Linked DNA regions of Arabidopsis thaliana. The protein of the gene in region 1 interacts with the protein of each later gene in a pairwise test. Each region holds a gene or a part of one and is shown in the gene's direction. Other genes may lie near its edges. The genes, in order: AT2G17670 and MYB73.

Region 1 (4,624 bases):
GCTAAGATGGAAGAATTAGGTTTCAATGTGTCTCATCTTTATGGTTTGACAGAGACATACGGTCCAGGGACACATTGCGTGTGGAAACCTGAATGGGATTCACTTTCGTTGGAGGAGAGAACTAAGTTGAAGGCTAGACAAGGAGTGCAGCATTTGGGTCTAGAAGGGCTCGATGTGAAAGATCCGCTGACAATGGAGACTGTCCCTGATGATGGTTTAACCATGGGTGAGGTTATGTTCAGAGGAAACACTGTGATGAGTGGATATTTCAAGGACATAGAGGCAACACGAAAAGCTTTCGAGGGAGATTGGTTCCACAGTGGTGATCTCGCTGTTAAGTATCCAGACGGGTACATAGAGATAAAAGACCGGTTAAAAGATGTGATCATCTCAGGAGGAGAAAACATAAGCTCAGTGGAGGTTGAGAGAGTTTTGTGCAGCCATCAAGCGGTTCTTGAAGCTGCTGTTGTAGCACGTCCAGATCATCACTGGGGACAGACTCCTTGCGGTTTTGTAAAGCTGAAAGAAGGATTTGATACCATCAAACCCGAGGAGATTATCGGGTTCTGTCGAGATCATTTGCCGCATTACATGGCTCCAAAGACTATAGTTTTCGGGGACATACCTAAAACCTCGACGGGGAAAGTACAAAAGTATCTTCTGAGGAAGAAAGCTGATGAAATGGGTAGCTTGTAATCGCCATGTAAGAAACAAAAAAGCTTAGTCTCTGGTTCATGTGTGTATGTAAGGAAACAAAGATCAGAGAATCATAAAACCACCGCGTGAAAATGAAGAAACAGATCAGCCATGGATATGATTTGGCTATAATTAGATTTGTTACGCGGAAGGCCAACGATTTTGTTATTTTTGTGCCTCAGAAAGATTTTAAGACATTAAAAAAAGAAAGAAGTAGCCAAAAGAATATTCCGCCGTGTCTGAAACGAGTCCATTTCGTAGGAAGATTTCAAAGCACAATCTTACTTATCTGTTTTCTCTCTTCTCTCCATTATAAATAAATCTGCATCCTGTGTTAGAATCTTTAAACAAAACCATCTGACTTATCAACAACAACAAGAGGACGAAGAAGAAGAAGAAGATTGTTACTTTCTTGATCGATAATGGCGTCGAATGAAGCTGGAAGGGCATTGCCGAAATTCGGGGAATGGGATGTGAATGATCCAGCGACGGCGGATGGATTCACGGTGATATTCAGCAAAGCCGGTGAAGATAAAAAGACGGGACGGAGTTCGACGAAGACGAATTCACAGAGGAAACAAGATGGTGATAAACCAGCGGTCAAGAAATGGCTCTGTTTCACTTTTGCTTAATCTTTTTTTTTTGTTTGTTGAGTAAGTTTTAATCCTAAGAGAATGTAGCTTTGAGCCTTATGAGCCCTTTGACAACTTTTGTGTTAGAACATTTCATTTCGTTTTTAGTTATCTAATAAAACAAATTCTGAGGTTTTGTTTCTTAATGATAAATCTCTGCATTTGGTCATTTGGAAATCAACAAAATTGTAGTTGTTGATTAAAGAATTGCAAAAGTCATACAAAAAAGGTCTCTTAGATATTGAGGTGAACACAAACTCTTGAACATGTTCAAAATTCATACAAAATGTGTTCTTCCTTACAAAACCTTTCTTTAATCTCTATTGATTTGGTCTGTAGAACAATGTTCTTGTATGGGGTTTATTGAGAAAACACAGAAGATCTTTCGGTTCTTTAGAGAACATTTTGCGGAAAGATTGTTGTTTTTAGGGCTTTGCCCACAAACTTGTACAGAAAGCAAAGAAAATACTGTGTTGAGGCCTTGAGGGAGAGAGGCTATCGCACAAACTGACTTTGGGCTACCATTCAAAAGCCCAATAGGCCCAATGTATTTCTACGGTTTTTCCTATTCGCTAACGTAAGCAACAGACTACCATGCGCCGTCCTCTGTCCATTTTCAACACAACAGACAAAATGCATCTTCACCCACACTTTGGGCCGATATTAACAAGCCCAATAGGCCCAATGTCTTGCCACGGTTTCTCTCATTTGCTAACGTAAGCAACTAGAGTACACGAGTGTAACTACTATACGCCGTCCTCTGTCCATTTTCAACACAACAGAGTCACAAAAACCTCTGCAAGAACCCTAAAGCTAAAACCTTTTTGCGATCAATCGAAAGAAAACAAAAAATGGGGAAAGTTCCGTCGTCGTTTCGTAGTATGCCGGCGAACTTATTGGTCAGAAAAACAACACCATCTCCTCCAGCGCCGCCGCGAGATTTTCGCAACAGAACCGCCGTGGGAGGAGATTCAGCCAAACTTCCCCAGAATACTCAAGCCCCTCGCGAGCCCTCCTTGAGGAATCCATTCAAGTCACCAAATCTCTCAGACGCTAAAAGCCTCTTCAATTCAATCGCCGCCACTTCACGAATCCCACTCGATCTCAAGTTCCACAACTCTGTTCTTCAATCATACGGTTCAATCGCCGTCGTCAACGATACGGTGAAACTCTTTCAGCATATTTTGAAATCGCAGCCTAATTTCAGGCCGGGACGTTCAACGTTCCTTATCTTGCTTTCACATGCTTGTAGAGCTCCTGATTCGTCGATTTCGAATGTTCATAGAGTTCTTAATCTCATGGTTAATAATGGTTTAGAGCCTGATCAAGTAACTACCGATATCGCGGTGAGGTCTCTTTGCGAAACGGGTCGGGTTGATGAAGCTAAGGATTTGATGAAGGAGCTCACTGAGAAACACTCTCCTCCGGATACATATACTTATAACTTTCTACTGAAGCATTTGTGCAAATGCAAAGATCTTCATGTTGTTTATGAGTTTGTTGATGAGATGAGAGATGATTTCGATGTTAAGCCGGATCTTGTTAGCTTCACTATCTTGATTGATAATGTTTGTAACTCTAAGAACTTGAGGGAGGCAATGTATCTAGTTAGTAAGTTAGGTAATGCTGGGTTTAAGCCGGATTGTTTCCTCTATAACACGATTATGAAAGGTTTTTGCACACTGAGTAAAGGGAGTGAGGCGGTTGGTGTGTATAAGAAAATGAAGGAAGAAGGTGTTGAGCCAGATCAGATTACCTACAATACTTTGATATTTGGACTGTCGAAAGCTGGTAGAGTTGAGGAAGCTAGGATGTATTTGAAAACTATGGTTGATGCGGGGTATGAGCCGGATACTGCTACTTACACATCACTGATGAATGGAATGTGTAGAAAAGGTGAGTCTTTAGGTGCGTTGAGTTTGTTAGAAGAAATGGAAGCAAGAGGGTGTGCTCCAAATGATTGTACTTATAATACTTTGCTTCATGGATTGTGTAAAGCAAGGTTGATGGATAAAGGGATGGAGTTATATGAAATGATGAAATCAAGTGGTGTAAAGCTTGAGAGTAATGGTTATGCTACACTTGTGAGGTCTCTGGTTAAAAGTGGCAAGGTCGCAGAGGCTTATGAAGTGTTTGATTATGCAGTTGATAGCAAGAGTTTGTCAGATGCTTCTGCGTACTCTACACTTGAAACTACCTTGAAATGGTTGAAAAAAGCTAAAGAACAAGGCTTGGTTCCATAAATGGTATCCTCTAGCTGAGCTTTACCGACTTTCTTCTTTATGCAAGTCCATATTTCATTTTTGAAGTAGTGTTACTCCAAAAGCAATGAATTTGTTTCGAAATATGCTGTTCGATTCTTAAGGGACCAGCAGTGATTTATAATAGTAACTTTGTTGGTAATATTATTGTCACTTGAGATTTCTAAAGGTTTCCTTAACACTCGAGTTATTGATTGGGTGAAAGTTGTTGCTGTGTTTCTATATGAACAGTCATATTCTATTATTCTGTTTGTATCAGCTTCTTGCCTTCAGTGTCATGTACTCTGTTCTTATGAGCTATTGTGAATACCATAATTGGTTATTGATCTTGCCTTGGGTTGTTGCTTGAGAGATCAAGCAAATAATATTTGCTTTGACAATTGCAATATCTGTTTGGGGTAAATGAGGCAGAGTATCTGAGTAAAGATTGTTTCTTGTGAACAATTTTGGTTATTGATCTTGCCTGGGATTGTTGCTTGAGAGATCAAGCAAATCATATTTGCTTTGACAATTACGCTATATGTTTGGGGTATTAAATCAGGCAGAGTATCTGAATAAAGAGATCGTTTCTCTTGTTTGGCTGCAAGAAGAGACTATTATCTTCTTGAACAATCTTTTCTTATATGCTCTGTTTTAACACTAAGCAGCCCAAGTGCAGAGTATTTGTGAATTATCAGTTGAATTACAAAGTACAAACCAAATCATTGAGGGGGACAAGAAAACAGAGGACAACGTTAATGGAATCATGAAGAAGATTTATAAGTGGTCAACATTCTGGTATTAGTCTATTTCATTGTTTATGACCAAATTCTAATCATTTGGTGAATAAACTCTTTTGTTTATTTTGATTTCTCTTCTGTCATGTTTCATTATCTAGTGTATTTTGCTGCAACATCTGTTTCTTTGTCTCCCCCATTAAACAATAGAACGCTACGGAAATAGATACATATTAGGAAGAAATGTACGTACCGCGAGGTCCACGAATACATGATTCGCCTACCATCATTGTGTAATCTATCGATTATCATAGCCTCC
Region 2 (3,923 bases), on another chromosome or scaffold:
TTTTTCATTATCTTGGTGTAAATAATCTATGAATCTCATGTGTATATGCAAAGTCATATGAAGTGAACTTGGTTTAGATATTTGTTGTATTTTCAATTTTCATTTTTAATTATATCATACATTCTTTTACAATAATCTTCAATTATTGTTTACATCCCTAATTTTAATGCATAAGATATAAATTGTTTTGAGCATTAGGGTTTAGTTTTTTTATAAACTATATGAAAACAAAATTTGGAGGGTATTTAAGTTATTCATTTTCATTATTTTGTGTAATTAATCTATGAACTTCGTGTGTATATATGCAAAGTTGCATGAAGTGGAACTTGGTTTTAGATATTTATGAATATCTAGATATTTGTTGTATTTCAGTTTGTTAGGTTTTGTTCTCTCTTTCTGCCAATTACACACACTTTTGTTTTACAAAGAACATAAATAAAAGTTACATATATATCCTGAAAAGTTTGCTTCACTGTATATATATCATCATCCTACACGCGCTTCACCGGCGTTTACCCTTTCAATTTCTGGTTAACTAAGTTGAACCGGATTAGTAATTCTTCGGTTTAGTTGTTCTTCTATACGACAATTTATCACTTGACAAATATAAACGATCTATTACTTGCAACATTCATATTTAATCTAGTATCTTACACGTACATATTTGTTAGAAATTCAATGACCAAACATTGCAAAACTATTACATTCACTTGTTGCATGTAAGCTAGAAGCCTAGAACTCGCTGTCAACGACTACAATGTCTACATTATTTTCACCGACACAATTTACATCTTAACCAAAATTTGGATATTGGACCAATCGTTCGTTTATATAATAACCACACGTATCAATCAACACACAGAAGACAATGACATGTAACAAACAGTGTAAAATATTGAAAATAACTTATCAAAAAACTTTAGTTCATAACACAAAAACTTTCGGCTATTTTTTATTGACTTCTATGTAGTCTTTTTGTTGCACTTACTATTTTTAAAAGCAATATGTATGTTTCCAGCAGATTCTTAGTTTTTACAAAATTTTGCCTTTAATATTTTTTTTGATATACATTGCCATTCTTGATTTCATTTTCTTCTACAATAGTATCAAAATTTTACAAAATAAAACTTCAAAAAACATACGAAAAAGTTAACAAATATTCAAAAAGAGAATGATTTTAAAAAGGATATAAATATAGAGAGAATAAAACGTAGAAGTTAACGATTTTTTTTTGTGAGTGTCACTTTAGATGGAAAATGAAATGATTGGGTAAAAACGCTCCACCTGTAAAACAGAGAGTGGAAGAAACGCTCCTGTGTACGAGCGTACTCTCTCTTCAAAAGAAAACAAATCTCTCAAAAAAAAGAAAGAACAATTGAAAAAAAAAAAGCAAATCTCAAACTCAAAGTACATATACTTACTTGACACGTGTTAATATACAGCTGTATCCCAAGTCCCCAACCGTTTTTCCTGGAAGATTCTCTGCTCTCCACGCTCGATGTTAACCTCACACAAACGCTTATCTCCCAAAACGCCTTTTCCAATCGCCAACGTGTTTTATTTTTGGTTTAAAATAAATATCTGTTCCAATCATACAAACACGTAAATGTTGTCAATTTTTTTATACCCAAACGTTAACGAGGTTTGTACGTAGCCCATTTATGGACACATAATTATGAACATATAAACAATGGTTAATCATACGTTTAAATTAATTAAATTCACCAATATTTTTTTGACTGAATGAGTCAAAATTGTTTAACGAGTAACGACCATAATTATCAGTTTTTATTTTTTATTGTTTGAACTACCATAGTTATCCGTTTAACACTGAGCAAATCTCTTTATTAATAGAGAAAACGGTTTTATTTGTTTCCTTCTATAAAATTTGTTTTTAATAATACGTTAGATATTTTTATGCAGTTAAGGATAATATTACACTGTAAAGTTTAACTAGTTTAATATCGTTTCTGTTAAATCGATAAGAAAAAATTACCGGTTGAACCGGTGACCCTTTTGCCCACTCCTTTCTCGTATAAATACTCTCTCTTCTTGCTCTTATCCTCTTCAACCAAAAAGCTTTTCTTCCCAACACACACAAAAAAAAAAACTGTAACGACCAAAAAAAAAGAGGACGCGTTAGAAGAAAAAAAAAGAACAATCCGATAAAAAGATCCGGCGATGTCAAACCCGACCCGTAAGAATATGGAGAGGATTAAAGGTCCATGGAGTCCAGAAGAAGATGATCTGTTGCAGAGGCTTGTTCAGAAACATGGTCCGAGGAACTGGTCTTTGATTAGCAAATCAATCCCTGGACGTTCCGGCAAATCTTGTCGTCTCCGGTGGTGTAACCAGCTATCTCCGGAGGTAGAGCACCGTGCTTTTTCGCAGGAAGAAGACGAGACGATTATTCGAGCTCACGCTCGGTTTGGTAACAAGTGGGCTACGATCTCTCGTCTTCTCAATGGACGAACCGATAACGCTATCAAGAATCATTGGAACTCGACGCTGAAGCGAAAATGCAGCGTCGAAGGGCAAAGTTGTGATTTTGGTGGTAATGGAGGGTATGATGGTAATTTAGGAGAAGAGCAACCGTTGAAACGTACGGCGAGTGGTGGTGGTGGTGTCTCGACTGGCTTGTATATGAGTCCCGGAAGTCCATCGGGATCTGACGTCAGCGAGCAATCTAGTGGTGGTGCACACGTGTTTAAACCAACGGTTAGATCTGAGGTTACAGCGTCATCGTCTGGTGAAGATCCTCCAACTTATCTTAGTTTGTCTCTTCCTTGGACTGACGAGACGGTTCGAGTCAACGAGCCGGTTCAACTTAACCAGAATACGGTTATGGACGGTGGTTATACGGCGGAGCTGTTTCCGGTTAGAAAGGAAGAGCAAGTGGAAGTAGAAGAAGAAGAAGCGAAGGGGATATCTGGTGGATTCGGTGGTGAGTTCATGACGGTGGTTCAGGAGATGATAAGGACGGAGGTGAGGAGTTACATGGCGGATTTACAGCGAGGAAACGTCGGTGGTAGTAGTTCTGGCGGCGGAGGTGGCGGTTCGTGTATGCCACAAAGTGTAAACAGCCGTCGTGTTGGGTTTAGAGAGTTTATAGTGAACCAAATCGGAATTGGGAAGATGGAGTAGAGTGATAAGAACAAGTTTTCCCTCTGTTTCTCGGGAAAATAAAAGTTTCAGGCTTTTCATGTATAGAGCCAGTAGTAGAGACGACGAAAGGAGGAAGCGAAATCAAAAAATGTTTTGTTATCATCATCATATGATCTTCTTTCGTGATTCAATTAAAAGCAAAGCAAGATCATTTATTAACAATTTACACAAACTTGAAGAAGAAAAGTCAAAAACACTTCTCAAACTTTTATTCTATGGGTTTGTTACGAGGAAACAAACATAAACTAAAAGTAGTAAATATAATCTCACGTGACATAATATATGACCTGAAGAAACCAGTCGAAACGAAACATATATACGATTTTGATGTTTCATAAGCGATCATACAATTCACAGTGTCTTGCTTTTGCAGAATTAGACAAAGAACAGCAAGTTACCCCCTAATGTGCAGAGCTTAAACTGTTGCTGCTGCTACTGGTTGGTTCTTGTGAGCGTAACTTGTTGATTAGATGAACTATGTCTTGTTTCCACGACCATGATGGATCGTTTAGACCACGTACTGAGTTTAGACACACCAGAAGAGTCCCGCCTTCATGTAGAAGTACCTATGATCACAAAAATGCAGGTTAGCGGTTTTGTCTCTCGGGTAAATGATGGATAACAAAAGCTTGTAGTGGGTATTAGCTTACGTACCGTCAACCACAATGGGACAAACCCTAAAACTGAAGGAAGAGCGGCCAAGAATATCGATGTTAATGCAAGAGCTACGTTTTGCTTGACCTGCAACATGATACATT

What was found.
Region 2: the proteins of AT2G17670 (region 1) and MYB73 interact in binary tests that used the Arabidopsis thaliana proteins (3 or more experiments, as listed by UniProt).

What each region holds. Positions count from the first base shown.
Region 1 is NC_003071.7:7,672,241-7,676,864, forward strand, and holds AT2G17670 (Tetratricopeptide repeat (TPR)-like superfamily protein), read left to right. Parts: upstream 1-2,078; 5' UTR 2,079-2,179; coding exon 2,180-3,571; 3' UTR 3,572-4,036; downstream 4,037-4,624. Other genes in the region: AT2G17650 (AMP-dependent synthetase and ligase family protein), read left to right, coding at 1-696; AT2G17660 (RPM1-interacting protein 4 (RIN4) family protein), read left to right, coding at 1,119-1,328.
Region 2 is NC_003075.7:17,538,421-17,542,343, forward strand, and holds MYB73 (myb domain protein 73), read left to right. Parts: upstream 1-2,069; 5' UTR 2,070-2,181; coding exon 2,182-3,144; 3' UTR 3,145-3,379; downstream 3,380-3,923. Other genes in the region: HMA1 (heavy metal atpase 1), read right to left, coding at 3,567-3,731, 3,820-3,906. UniProt on the Arabidopsis thaliana protein: Transcription factor that functions in salt stress response. Acts as a negative regulator of NHX7/SOS1 and CBL4/SOS3 induction in response to salt stress. In response to auxin, activates the transcription of the auxin-responsive gene IAA19.